Linked DNA regions of Mus musculus. The protein of the gene in region 1 interacts with the protein of each later gene in a pairwise test. Links are inferred from orthologs where the notes say so. Each region holds a gene or a part of one and is shown in the gene's direction. Other genes may lie near its edges.

Region 1 (7,157 bases):
AACACAAAGAAACATTAAGTAAAATTAAAAGAAATACAGAGCCTAGTAGAGTGGTATACACCTTTGATCCCAGCACTTGGGAGGCATACGCAGGTGGATCTTTTGAGTTGAAGGCCAGCCTGGTCTACAGAGTGAATTGACAGTGAGTTCCAGAAAGAAAAACAAAGTCCATTTTGGAAGGCTTTAACTAGGAGAATACTGATGCTACAAAGGAGGAGGAATTGAGCTCCTGGGGTAACATTCTTAATATAGGAGGGGGCTAAGGCCTAACGCACAAGGAGGGAGGCTCCAGCAGTCTGTACCTGTCTGTAAGTGAAGAAGACAAGTACAGTCAGAGATGGGGGGCGTGTGCTGCTAGTCCCCTGGTTTCCTCTGAGTTTCCAGGGAAACAAGAATGATGACAATATCTGGGGTGGGAAGATATAAAGAGGAGATAAGCAGTTGTCTCGGAAAGGGGTGTATATCATTGGAGAAAGTGGTGGTGGCCTTTCTGGGCAGAAGGGAGCCTTCCAAGGATTGGTATAAGGAAGACTTCTTTTTTTTTTTTTTTTTGGTTTTTCAAGACAGGGTTTCTCTGTGCAGTCCTGGCTGTCCTGGAACTCACTCTGTAGACCAGGCTGGCCTTGAACTCAGAAATCCACCTGCCTCTGCCTCCCAAGTGCTGGGATTAAAGGTGTGCGCCACCACTGCCCGGCTAAGGAAGACTTCTTTAAGCAGGGTTGCTTCGGTACTTGTGCAGCATAAGGGAAAGGGGCTTTACTGGGATTAAAGAATAAGCCAGGGTAGAAGGTGAGTCAGTTAGGAGAAAAGAATGAAGCCCAGTAGTTGCAAGTCTATTAGGATGAGAAATGGAGGAACCATAAATACTGATGGGGATTTAAAGAAGTGGTGACGGTCCTGGCGTGGAGTGATAGGCCAGTGCTACTCAGGACAGCAGCCTCACCCCAGCTGATAGATGGCTAGTCTGATTTGGATCTGCTAAGCTATGAGAACTGCATCAGCCTTTAAAGGCCTAAGATTAAAATGTAAAATATACCGGGCAGTGGTGGCGCACGCCTTTAATCCCAGCACTCGGGAGGCAGAGGCAGGCAGATTTCTGAGTTCCAGGGCAGCCAGGGCTACACAGAGAAACCCTGTCTTGAAAAAACTTTTAAAAAAAAGTAGTAGTTGTAGCCAGGCAGTGGTGACACACCTTTAATCCCAGCTCTCAGGAGGAGAGGCACAACAGTGGATTTCTGTGAGTTCGAGGATATCGAGGGCTACACAAAAAAACCTCATCTTCAACACCTCCCCCCCACCCCCCAAATAAAAGAGTAGCAGTTGTTGGAAAAAGCAGTGTCTTGAGAAAGGAGTGTGGTGCAGACAGGCTCTGAATTGGTAGCATGTAGATTAGTTGTCTGATAGGATGTGGGTATCCCAACAGAGTGGACCATGGGCTCATCCAGTGGAGTCAACTGGGATAGAGGCTGGGATCTGATGGCGGACTTCATTGGTCTTGGTCATTATTCATTATTATTTCCCCAAGAAACCCTTGGTTAGCCTGCACAGTTTCTGGGAGGAGCATGAGAAGTTCCCGTGCTTTTGGTGTGTGAGCAGGCTCTTGTTGGAGCTGTTGTGCCTGGAGTGGAAGGGGTGAATAGTGGTTAGCTTAGGAATCTCTAGAGCTGTGTAACGGTGCCCTGCAGACACTTATGCCTCCTGTTCTCAGCTGGAAGAGCATCGGAACTCGCAGAAGCAGATGAAGCTCCTGCAGAAGAAGCAGAGCCAGCTCGTGCAGGAGAAGGACCATCTGCGAGGGGAACACAGCAAGGCTGTCCTGGCCCGAAGCAAGCTTGAGAGTCTGTGCCGGGAGCTGCAACGGCACAACCGGTCCCTGAAGGTAGGCCCATCAGTATCCATTGGGACTTGTGGGCAACTGCGGCTATGCTATACAGTGAGTTCTGGGCCAGCTTGGATTTCATAGGAAGATTTACTATAGAAGAAGAAGTAACAGCAGCAGCAGCTTAGGCTTAGCTCAGTCCCAGGTCCACCAAAGAACAGCTGTGCCTACCTTGCCTGGCGTGCAGGAAGCACCAGATGCGTCAGCCGGAGTCAGCTCCCTCTGCAAACACTCAGCTTCCTAAAACCACAGAGATTGTTTGTCCTGACACCCAGTGTAAAAGCTCTCATCCATGATAAGGGGAACCTGATGGCTTTTCAGATCTGCGCTGAGAGGGGCAGGAGCAGGGTGTGGCAGGAGGGTGTGGGACAGCAGAGCTGCTCAAGAGCACACTTCCCAGTCCTAAGCCGTTTCAGCAGACCTTGGGCACCACAGTAGGCTCCAGAGTCCCCTGCCAAGTAAACCTTTATGGGACCTCAGGATGCAAGGTGGGGAGATGGATCAACCAAGAGCGTGCTTCCCACTGCCAGCATAAGGCCTGGAGCCCGGCGGCAGAGCTGGCCTAAGTAGTGTACCTCGGTGAAGTATGGAGGACTAAGAGATGGCTGAGTAGTAACCTAGTAGTCTTCCAGAGGACCCGATTACTGTTCCTGCACCCACATTCGGCTGTCCGCAAGCCATTTGAGGAGATCTGATACTCTAATCTGACTTCTGGACACCTGCATACATGTGACATACATTCACAGAGACACATAAATATACAGAAATTTTTAAAAGCTTAAGCCAGGCGTGGTGGCGCACGCCTTTAGTCCCAGCACTTGGGAGGCAGAGGCAGGCAGATTTCTGAGTTCGAGGCCAGCCTGGTCTACAGAGTGAGTTCCAGGACAGCCAGGACTACACAGAGAAACCCTGTCTCGAAAAAAACAAAAACAAAAATAAAAACTAAATAAATAAAAAAGCTTAAAACAAAACCAACAAGAAGTGGGTGGGCAGATAGATAACCCAGTGGGTGACAGGCAGACAGATAACCCAGTGGTTAGGGCATGGGCCGCTTTTCTAGAGAAGCCGCTTCAGTGCCCACCTCTCACATGGCAGCTCACAACTGTCTAACTCCAGTGGCAGGAGGTCCATGACTCTCTTTAAAAAGTACAAACTTCTCGTGAATTCCAGGACAGCCAGGGCTACACAGAGAAACCCTGCCTCGAAAAACCAAAATAAATACATACATATATACATACTAAGGTAAAGAAAGCTTGGTGATGGCACTTGACCTCTGGCCTCTAGGTGCACACATGTGCAGTACTATTTATTTATTTATCTATATCTATTTATCTGTTTATTTATTTTGGTTTTTCGAGGCAGGGTTTCTCTGTGTAGCCCTGGCTGTCCTGGAACTCACTCTGTAGACCAGGCTGGCCTCGAACTCAGAAATCCGCCTGCCTCTGCCTCCCGAGTGCTGGGATTAAAGGCATGCGCCACCACGCCCAGCTATAATCTTTAAAAAACAAAAAAACAAAACAAAAAAAACTTAAAAACCAAAACTAGGTAAGAGTATGTGTGTCCATGTCCTTTACCAATTGTGTGCTGAGGAATTTTATCTACAGACTAAATTTCAGAAGTGAAATGGCTGGGTCAGTGGGCACAGCACTAAGTGGCTAATTGATAGAATCGTCTAGGCTGTCTTCATAAAAGTGGGAATGTTTAGGTGCCTCATTTCTTACAACTCTGCTAGTCCTGAATATGACTACATTTTGTTATATTGTTCTCTGTGGGGAACAGGAGGGACTAAAGGACATTAAAATGGACACAAATTGAAACAAGCAGAAATACTTAATCTAGAGTCTGGGAACAAGAATTCAGGCTGTCCAGCTGTTGCAGAATGGCACTTAGCATGGACCCTGAGTATTCTTGGGAGAGTCGCTTGATAACACCTGATTTACAGAGAGGCATGTTAGGAAACCCCATTGTATGACGTCCTACATCCTTGGTGCTCCCCAGGGCCCAAATCGCTGTTGGCAAAGACTGGACTTTGGAACTAGTTAGGGGAGCTTTGTGCAAGGCTGGCAACTATGGACAATTCTTTTCTTCAGGAAGAAGGCGTGCAGCGAGCCCGTGAGGAGGAGGAGAAGCGCAAAGAAGTGACTTCACACTTCCAGGTGACACTGAATGACATTCAGCTGCAGATGGAACAGCATAACGAGCGAAACTCCAAGCTGCGCCAGGAGAATATGGAGCTAGCCGAGAGGCTCAAGAAGTTGATCGAGCAATACGAGCTTCGTGAGGAGGTGAGCTGCAGGCGATTGAGGCCAGCAGCTTGGGAGTCTGTAGTGAGTGCCAGGGCCTGGGGCCGCAACTGCAGGCCTGGGCTTGCTCTTCCTTCAAGAGATGTATCCTGTAGATAAGGAGCTGAAATAAATGGAAAGAAGAGATTACACACACACACACACCAGTGCTTATCCCTGGTGTCTGAACCGGACATCTGTAGAGTATTCAGTGCTAGAGTGGAGGCGTGTCCTCGTCCCAGCTCCGCATCAGACCTGTACATCAGACCATGCCATTCCCAAGGACATGGGTCGGCAGGAGACCGGATGAAGTGCCTTGTTTCCTAGAGTTGGGGCTTTCTTGAAAGGGAACTCCTGACTCCATAAATTACCTTTTCTGCAGCATATCGACAAAGTCTTCAAACATAAGGACCTGCAGCAGCAGCTAGTGGACGCCAAGCTCCAGCAGGCCCAGGAGATGCTGAAGGAGGCAGAGGAGCGGCACCAGCGAGAGAAGGAGTTTGTGAGGCTCAGGCCCCAGGGCTGTGGTGGGGCTGGAAGGAAGTGGGCTGGGTTCTGGCTTAGTTCAATCTATTTCTTATGGATGGGAGAGATTTTGCCTGCCCAATCCAGTAATTGCCTGTCCAGACAGCAGTCTGAGAGCAGGTAGCCTCAGTGGGTCCAGTGCTTGTGGCTAAAGAAGGTCAGACATACCCTCAGGGGCTTCTGACAGGTTCTGGGGTCCTGTCTTGGAAATAGCTCCTGAAGGAAGCGGTGGAGTCCCAGAGGATGTGCGAGCTGATGAAGCAGCAGGAGACCCACCTAAAGCAGCAGGTGAGACGGGAACCTGACCTGCAGTTTCCAGGATGCTTTCACAAGGGCCCATCTGCAGGGCAGTGGAGACAGGACTGTCATAGCCTGGCTTTGTGCCAGCTGGCCTGTTGGTGTCGGCCAAGTCTTTTATTTATGTGTGTTTTGTTTCCCCAAAGACAAAGTTTCTCTGTGTAGCCCTGGCTGTCCTGAAACTTGCTTTGTACACCAGGCTGGCCTGGAACACAGAGATTTGCCTGTCTTAGCCTCCTAAGTAATGGGATTAAATGTAGGCATGTGCCATCATGCCAGGCATTTTTGTTGTTCTTTGAAGAACAGGTCTCTGAGTTTAGCTGTGGCTACAACTAACCCAGAACTTACCTTGTAGACCAGGCTCTCTGGTGGCCTTGAACTTGTGACAGTCCTCTGACTCCCAGATGCATGAGGCGTTAGCTACCAGGTCTAGCTCAATTCTGTCTACTTTTATTTTGCTGTATTGATATGCATATGAGTGTTTTGCATGGATGTATATTTTTCCCCACTTGTGTTCCTGGTACCTTTAGAGGTTAGAATAGTTCCAGACAGTTGTGGTCTCCATGTAGGTGCTGGGAATTGAACCCAGGTCCTCTGGAAGATCAGCCAGTGATCTTAACCTCTGGCCGTCCCTTCAGCCCTATCAGTGTATGCTTCGTTTTGTTTTGTTTTGTTTTGTTTTGTTTTTGTATGAGACCAGTGTCTCCACATGCTGACGTCTTCCCAAGGCTGACTTTGCAGGATTGTCGTGTTGGAACACATCCTTGCTGTGCACGACTTTGCTTGTGTGGTATTAGGAGATGGTGTCTCAGTAGAGTGGCTCTGTCCGCGTTCCTCCTCATCGTGCTCCTGTGCTTCTTACGCAGCTCGCCCTGTACACGGAGAAGTTTGAGGAGTTCCAGAACACACTTTCCAAAAGCAGTGAAGTGTTCACCACGTTCAAACAGGAGATGGAAAAGGTAACACAGGGAGGCCCTCAGCCTGGCCAGGACGGTGGGCGTTCTGGCCGCTTCCTTCAGACCTGAGCTGCCCTGGCAGCCTCACAGGCACTCTATATATCAAGAGGTAGTTAGAAGGGGCCATAGCTCCCTCTCCTGCCAGAGGGGACAGTTTCTGTTTGTTTTTCTATTATTGTTTGGTTTGATTTCTTTATTTATGCTGGAATTTTAAATAGAGAATATGCATTCTACTAGGCTTCAATGGTAGCTTTTTTTTTTTTTTTAATTTTATTTTATTTCTTTAGAGATGTAGTCTCTCTATGTAATCCTGGTTTCCCAGGAACTCTCAGTGTAGACCAGGCTGGTCTTGAACTCATAAATACCCACCCTGCCTCTACCTCGAGAGTGCTGGGATAAAGGCACCCAGCATATTTTTAAACAATATTGTGAATAGATATGTATGTGTATGGGCTATGCATATGGCAATTATCCAAGTACCATTTACAGGAGTTGAATCTGTGGGTTTGGGGCATGGAGCTCATCGTTAGCCTCGGCAGCAAGTACCTCCTTATTTCCTAAGCAGTCTTGTCAGCCCCTCAGTGGTCAGCTTAACTTGAGGCTCCCAGTTGGCAGAGACGTGCAGATAGCCCATCTCTGACCCTTTCTTTTCATCTGTGGTGTAACAGATGACAAAGAAGATCAAGAAGCTGGAGAAAGAAACCACCATGTATCGATCCCGGTGGGAAAGCAGCAACAAGGCTCTGCTGGAGATGGCTGAAGAGGTGGGTGGAGGGCCGCGGACTGGTCTGTGGGCCTTTTCCCCTGCTGTCACTCAGTCACTGACACTACACGGGAACTGGGGCTGCGTTTCCAGGAGCACTTATCCAAGTGAGCCCTTTTGGGGACCTTTTTTATGTCTGCACATTTTTTTGAGATCTGAGAGTGGTCCGTGGTCCTGTTTAACAATCGACAGTTTAAAGATGCCTGTGGTGTGTCAGGGTATCTGGCAGACAAGTAGAATACATCCTCTGGCCCTCGGCTGGGGCTGTTTACTACATGGGCCAGCTTTTGGGTTTAAGCTGCCCAGACTTGAGGATGTGAACGTCTCACTGAATGCTTCATTTCTCTACCTAGAAAACCGTCCGGGACAAAGAGCTGGAGGGCCTGCAGGTGAAAATCCAGCGGCTGGAGAAGCTGTGCCGAGCACTGCAGACCGAGCGCAATGACCTCAACAAG
Region 2 (7,866 bases), on another chromosome or scaffold:
CAATTATGTAAAAACTGGGGAAGAGTCTCTCTAGACCCCCATCATGGGGTATAGGGCAGCAAAGAAGGATTATAGATTTTAGTAAGTAATAATTCAGGAGTATAGGGAGTGAGAAGTTAGCAATGTGAAAGTTTGGGAGTGGCCCAGTCATTGATCTGATTAAGGCATATTTAATACAAGGCTCTGTGAGTGTGTATGTGTGTGTGTGTGTGTGTGTGTGTGTGTGTGCCTTTCATTTGGGAATCCAGAGCATGCAGCTGTTAGTGAGGAACTCACGCTGCCCTGCCGCAGCAGGGGAGATCAAAGGAGAAAATCTTCTACTGCTACAGGCAGTTCTAGTCTACATATATACAACTTCCTAAATTACATTATCATAGCTGTCCTCTCAGGCTTCAAAAACCCCGCCCACATTCATCCATCTGAAAGTCGGAAACCAACCATCACCTCTACAAAACCTGGACTCCTGCATATACGGGTTCCTGAATACTTGAAACCCTAATTCCTGGGGAGATTTTGTGAAGCACTGAATCTGAAGTCACATTTCAGTTGTTCTTGAACTAGATGTACCCTCCACAGAATCCTTTATCCTAAGTCTGGGTTTGCTGATGTTCTCTAAAAACTCTGAGCAACGCATCGCCTGCTGCCTGTGTCTCACTAGTGTCCCTGCAGCTTCAGCAACAGTGAAGAGATGTAAGTGGGTTCAGTCTTGGACATTTGAGCCATCATGAAGTTTTCTTTCTCCTTCAGTTTCTGCTTTTTCCTGCTCTCTCTCATCTGATGGCTCAGCTGGTGAAGGCATACGCTGCCAAGCCTGAGTATACAAGCATGATGCCCAGGAATCAAAATGTAAGAGAGAGCAGAGTCCTACACTTTGTCCTCTGACACCTACAGTGAACCATTCATGTGCCACCTTCCCGATACCAACAATCAAAATAAGTAAATAGCAGGGCATGAAGGCACACACCTTTAATCACACACAGTACTTAAGAGGCAGAGGCAGGCAGATCTCTGAGTTTGAGCCCAGCCTGAACTACAGAGCAAGTTCCAGAACAGCCAGGGCTACACAAAGCAACACTGTCAAAAACAAACAAACAAACAAATAATAATGATGGTTGCAATTCTTGACAGGAAAAATACATTGTGTGTTTCAACTTAGGCAAGAATAAAGGGTATGACTAACATTCTCAGAATAATGAAGTTTCAGGAAAAAGATGATATGACCATGCTTCACTTACTCGCTGTCAGAACTGGGCAACACTAATCAGAACTCGCATCCTGAATTATTCCACATGACTCATCTGAGAGCCAAGCAGAACTGGATGGAGGACTGTGGGTTGGATTAAAATTGACCGCCATGTTAAAGTAGCAAACTGACATGAGTGTTGAAAGGAGAATGCAAATGAGAGGTTTTAAGAACTAGCAATCAATCATCCAGATGTGCTGAGAAACAGTTATGTTCCTAAAGCAAGCCAGCAGCATTCCCATCCAAGTGCTTAGAAAGTCTGCTTGCTGCACACCTATTTATGTATGTGATATATATATATATGTATATACATATATATATATGATACATGTACTGATATATACATATATATGTGTATATACTGATATATATATACATATATATCAGTACATGTATCAGTGTGTTGATTTCTATATCATGTGTGCTTTCTATGTCATATATACACATATATTTTTATATGTGTGACTTGTATATAGTACATGTATCTGTGTGATTTCTCTATTGTCTGTATTATGTCATATAAATATATACACATACATATATAATATATATGACTTGTATTGATTTGCATTTCCCTGATGATTAAGGATGTTGAACATTTTTTCAAGTGCTTCTCTGCCATTCGGTATTCCTCAGGTGAGAATTCTTTGTTCAGTTCTGAGCCCCATTTTTTAATGGGGTTATTTGATTTTCTGAAGTCCACCTTCTTGAGTTCTTTATATATGTTGGATATTAGTCCCCTATCTGATTTAGGATAGGTAAAGATCCTTTCCCAATCTGTTGGTGGTCTTTTTGTCTTATTGACGGTGTCTTTTGCCTTGCAGAAACTTTGGAGTTTCATTAGGTCCCATTTGTCGATTCTCGATCTTACAGCACAAGCCATTGCTGTTCTGTTCAGGAATTTTTCCCCTGTGCCCATATCTTCATAATAGTACATGTATAAGTGTATTGTGATTTCTATATTGTGTGTGTATTCTATATCATATATACACATATATGGTATATATATGGTACATACTGTCATTTTCTCAGTGAAATCAACAGGGTCAGACTGAGATTCTGTCATCAATTATGGTTGGAATGTGGCTGAAAGAGGAAAGAATTTGGAATCAGTTACCGAGGACCCGGGTTGGTGCCCACCATTAGAAGCTACTCCCTTGTCCCCAATACAGCCTGATCCACCTAACTGGCAGTTTTCCAAGGACGCAGCGAACTGTGAGGAAGAGAGGGGTTTAAATGGTGCTAATACAGTGACAGTGGAGTGAGCCTAACCAATTCCCAGCTGGAAGTTACTAAGGTGAATTCAAAGGGAAGAGGGTTGAGGCCCAGTCTCTGCGGTGGCGTTCTTGGTGACCCACCGGTTCTCTGGTTGGGCAGTGTCCTCCCGCGTTTCTCTCGCGCCTCTGGGTAGCCGCGGGCCGCAGCTAAGCGGGTTGGGCGGGCTGAGGACTGACCTGGCCGCGCCAGTGCTGGGGAGTTCCCGCTAGAAGGAAGCGGACTGGTGCGGAGGCCGCGTCTCCATGGCAACCCACTGGGAACCAGCCGCCAACTGCGCTGGGCGGGCGGGCACTGCGGGCGGGACCCGCAGCCCAGGCCAGGGCAGACCTCTCCAGACAGCAGTACAGGTAACAGGTGGACTCCCTGTACCCAGGCCCTGTCCCTCCCCTAGGCTGCAGCTAGCAAGGAGATGGCCGGCCGGACTGCTGCTTCCAGCGACCCAGGGAACTGTGCCTCAGTTTCTCTCCTTAATTTGTCTGAACCTTTTGACTTAGCTTTGTCTCCTGTCGCCTCCAGTGTCTGTCTCACTGCTGCAATTCCTGTGGTGGCAAATGGTCTGAAAGGAGGTTCTTCCTCTCCCCTGCCCCCTTCCCTTCCTACTCATCCTGTTCACCTCCCCCTCTTCCACTCTCTTCTTTCTCCCCTTACCCTCTCCTCTCTTGCCTCCTCCTCTTCTTCCTCTTCATCCTCTTCTTTTTTTCCTTCCCTCCCCCCTCCTTCTCGTTCTCAGTTCATATACTTCTTAGGAAGGTTAAGTTCATTTTAACACTTTGTTCATTTATCCTTTTAAATTAGTCCACTAATGGGACAACTTTGTGAGTGTGTGTGTGTGTGTGTGTGTGTGTGTGTGCGCGCGCGCGCACGCGCGAGTGCGTGTGTTGAGGCATGTAGGTGCCAGGGAAGAAGAGGGCATCTGATTGCCCTGGGACTAGGTGGTTTTGAGCTACCTGACCGGTGCTGGGTCCTCTCTATGCACTCTAAGCATGATGACCTCCAACTGCTGGGCCAGTTCTCCAGCTCCTGTTTTTGGACTTCGTACTAAATTTCATGCTCAATCGACTCTTTTAAAAGGTCAAGAAAAACCAATGAAAGAATACACTCAAAGGCAAAGGATAGGCACTCCACTAAGATGCAAACTGTGAGGGCTTCTAGATATCACTTCTCAAACCAGGAATTAGGAACTTTTGCACAAATTAGGCAACTGACACCTAGCTGCCTAGCTGAGTTAAGGAGGTATGCTTGCTGGTTTCATCAAGGCAAAGAAACCCCACCCCCACCCCACCCCCACCCCCACCCCCACCCCCACTGTGGGCCTTCTCTGTTGAAACAACAGCGTCCATGCTCAGAGAACCTATCCTAAATGGCATGCCAACAACAAAAATAACATCTTATATTAATATGTTTAAGCATTTTATAATTCTAAATAATTTCCCTCCTCACAGATTAAATATCAAGAAGTACCAAGCCAGATGTAGACATTTCTTGGCATGGAGAACCAAGCCCATACCACAGCAGGGTAAGTGCTTCAGAAATTCTATCTAATTAGCTCATCTTTGCCCAGAAGTCTGGAGGAAGCGTGAGTTCTGAAGTGAATTGTTAAAAGAAGGATGTATTGGTTTGGGAGGCGGTAAGTAGACTGAAAATCTCAAGTAACTTATGAAGTATCTACTGGTGTAAGTCTTTCTGATGTTGTCTGCACCCTGGAAGACAGCACTTCCTGACTGATACTGTTGGCGTTATAGATTCGGAACCCATGCTGGCCTCCTCTGCCCTTACAAGTCCACAACACAGCGCTTCCTGGCCAGCTTTCTCTTTTCTCGCTGTGATGAGTGTTTCTCTGCTCCTATCCTTAAGACTGGCCACATTTTCTCAACATTTAAACACAGCTCCGCAATACATATATTTCCATAGCAGAGCAAGAACTGGGTATTTTAGAATGGGGTTTAGAAAATATTCACTGTGGTAGGAAATGGACCAAATTCCTTTTCACGATTATTTGTCCTCCCTCTTCTCCCACATCAGCACCATGAATATTTCACTAGCCATCTGACCTCTGCTGGACTCAGACTGGGGCAGCAGAGGTACATCAGAGCCCAGGCCTGACTGCAGCTGCTTTTGACACTAGTCACAACTCTCGTGGCTCACGTCCAGTGACTCTACTCCACCTGTGACACACATGCACACACACACACACACACACACACACACACACACACAGAGACACACCCCAAATGCACAGCCTTAAGTAACATGAAAACTCATCTCTATGTCAGAGTGAGTGGTTTCCTCTTTACACCCAGAGTGGTTGCTCCAGCACTGTGACTGTTTGCCTTCCATCCTGGTAGTGAGTGCTCATAATGAGGGGGAAAGCAAGGGCAGGAAAGACTTTCCTCCTAGGAGTCTGACCTAGAGATGTTGGGCTTCCCTGGGTTCACTATCATTGGCCAGAACTCAGTCTCACTTAGTTGTAAGAAAGGCTCAGAAATGTGCTCTCCAGCTGGGTGGCATATGTTTAGCTGTAGTTCAGAAATTCCATATATAGTTGGTGCTGGACTCAGGATTGCTCAGCTTGCCTGGTCACCTGCATGCCTGTGTGGCAGCATGCCTGTGTGGCAGCATGCCTGTGTGCCTGCATGCCTGTGTGAAGCTGTAAAGAGGATAGTAGAAACCATCCTCTAATTTCTAAGCTGGGTCTTTTCTCCAGACTAGAAATCTGTGGATTCCCTCTGACAATGCTAGTAATTCATGGCTAGTTACAACTGTGAGGGTAGACAGTCACCATCACCACACCCCAGGACACTGAGGGCTGAGCTGTTGGTTCTCAGGCTCGCTGGGTTAATTCCGGGCGTTTTCAACCTTTTTGTTTTTTCAATATATAATGGCCCTGTCCAGCCACAGCCAACTCCACTGTAAGTTGAAGGGCGAAGAGTATTCATTGCTGTGTCCCTGCCCCATTGAGCCTCAGAGAGATGGAGACAGGAACAAGAATTTATACCAGTAGAATAGCGGTCAGTGAAGGAGGCAAGAGTTGAATTGAAATACATCTAGCTCCAGTCCCTGGATCTTTCCTACACTGGAAATTGATCACATGGAGGTGAGAGGGGCCGCCTGCTTAGAGTTCACAGCACAGCCAGGTCAGGCTAAGAGTGTGTTGGGTCCCTAGAGAGACTGTGACATTGGGATATAGTAAGGCAGACTGTAGAATTCAGGCGTGAGCTTGTGTAGCAGATTGTCTTAGCCCTGCAAAGCTGAAGATCTGGCTGGTCTCTGCATTCATTCTTTGAAGACAAAGTACCTTGTCCTGAGTGTTAACCCCTGAAATGCCAAGGTTATTTAAAAACAGAACTGGTCCTTAAAGAACTTAGAACGCAGTGGAGAGAGTTAGACTTGTTTGGGTACAAGATAGTTACAGTTAGTTACAGAAGTTAGTGAGCACACCACAGTGTGCTCTGAAGGACTGCTGCTCATCCCAGTAGGCTATGGCCATAGTGTCCCGAGCTCAGAGCCCACTGGCTCCCATGTTGTAAAGAAACCAGTAAATGTGGATGGTTCTCCAGGGACTTGTTAGCAAGTTTATGGACATGTTCCTCTGATGTTTCTTGAAGCAGCCCACTTTCAACAGTTAGCACCTACAGTGAGCTTATGAAGCTCTGAAACTACATAAACATACAAATATATACCAAACACTGATAGAAAAAGTTATGTGCACAATATAAAAAATTTATTTGGTTCTATGGATTACAAAACAATATAAAACAAAATCTAGTTGCGTTGGTACCCGGCCAGATTTCTACTCCCAAGGCAGCCACTGTGAATCCTTTTGGCTGGGACCCTTTCCCAAGGCTTTTGATGTCTAACTTGGTATCTTCAAATAATGGGTTTTACTGCTGCTTTTGATTTTTCAATTTTAGGTATTAGCTATTGACTTTTACACTAGATCTCTCTCTATCTCTGTTTCCCTCCTTCCCTCCCTCCCTCCCCCCTCTCTCTCTCCCTCCCTCCCTCCCTTCCTCCGTCTCTCTCCCACTCTGTCACACACACACACACACACACACACACACACACACACGCTCCGAACTTCCCTGTCCCCCAATATGACATGATTTTGGTAGCCTCAATAATCTTCTTATGACTTTATAAGTCATGTCCATCTCAGAGTTTGATAAGGATCAATCATTTTCTTTCCTGCTCAACATTTTTAGCTCCTGAAGTTAGTAATCCTGTTGTCACAAACTTCTGAAGTGTCCTTTTTCCTCCAGTTTCTTTCAGATGTCTCTCTTTGGAGCTGCCTATCATTTTTGTCCTGTGAACTGCTTTCCTTGGGCCCCTGAGCTCACTTCTTATTTATTCCAGGACTCACCCATGGTGGGGACCAACTATACTTAGGGTGGGTCTTACCTCCAGAAATCCCCTCACAGGCACGCCCAGAGGCATGTCTCCCAGGTGATCCTAGATCCTGAAAAGGTGGCAGCCAACAGTAACCATCATAGGTTGTTGCTACTTGGCTCCCACTCTTTTTGCCTTTGTAGGTTTAATGTGTCAGGTGAAACTATCCATCTGCCTCGTGTTAGTAAGTCTTGGGAAAGGAGCACATTTTGTGGGTTCATCCATCTTTACCCAAAGCCTGTTCTCCCCCCTGACTCCCCTTCTTGGCCTTCCATTCTGAGACATACTTTGCATTCTGTAACTAACACCTGAGCCATTGATCTCTTTCATAGAACCTTGTCAAATGGTTTCTAAAACTTGGGATGCCTCTGCATCAAGCCACCAAACTCTTCTCATCTTCCAGAGAACTGAGATAGATAGGTTATTAAAGAGCAGCTTCCCACCTGGATTCCAAAAGCCCTGGCCAACACTGCTTCTTCTGTGTGTCTTTTTAACCCTCAGGGGTCCTTCTCCAGAGTCACAGCCTCAGTTGCTCACTTTGGGATGGATTAAATTCAGTTTTATTTACAGTTAGTAAAAAGAAATTCTGATTTGCCTGAGCTAAGCCCCTACAGCAGGACCATAATGAATGGTTACAGTGTTCTTTTCCTATAATTGAAAATTCTTTTCAATTGCTGTGACTTCCAGCTGGCCCATACCACACCTTCCTGGCCCAGACCATACCATACCATCCTTGCCTAGACACACCTTCCTGCTCTCCCCACACTGCCTAGTACTTCCCCTGCCCCTCCCAATATCCAATTCTCACCAGAATAGTCTCATTTAACAAGTTCCACTAATTTCTTGTGCCTTGAATGAAGAATTAACAGAAAAAGAGATGGGGGAGGGGCAGTGTTCCTGGTATGTGGTGTGGTGAAGGTGAACTCTGAAGCTAGCATGGGGCTGATTGCAGGTCTGGA

The links. The genes of interacting proteins can lie anywhere in the genome.
Region 2: the proteins of Txlna (region 1) and Deup1 interact in binary tests that used the Homo sapiens proteins (3 or more experiments, as listed by UniProt). The two-hybrid records come from large-scale screens. The link is inferred for Mus musculus from reciprocal best matches to the Homo sapiens genes TXLNA and DEUP1.

What each region holds. Positions count from the first base shown.
Region 1 is NC_000070.6:129,629,097-129,636,253, reverse strand, and holds part of Txlna (alpha-taxilin), read left to right. Parts: intron 1-1,708; coding exon 1,709-1,879; intron 1,880-3,431; exon of another isoform or gene 3,432-3,969; coding exon 3,970-4,164; exon of another isoform or gene 4,165-4,285; intron 4,286-4,543; coding exon 4,544-4,663; intron 4,664-4,899; coding exon 4,900-4,974; intron 4,975-5,849; coding exon 5,850-5,942; intron 5,943-6,607; coding exon 6,608-6,703; intron 6,704-7,055; coding exon 7,056-7,157. UniProt on the Homo sapiens protein: May be involved in intracellular vesicle traffic and potentially in calcium-dependent exocytosis in neuroendocrine cells.
Region 2 is NC_000075.6:15,622,825-15,630,690, reverse strand, and holds the start of Deup1 (deuterosome assembly protein 1), read left to right. Parts: upstream 1-2,844; 5' UTR 2,845-2,868; intron 2,869-3,963; 5' UTR 3,964-4,008; coding exon 4,009-4,037; intron 4,038-7,350; exon of another isoform or gene 7,351-7,443; intron 7,444-7,866. UniProt on the Homo sapiens protein: Key structural component of the deuterosome, a structure that promotes de novo centriole amplification in multiciliated cells.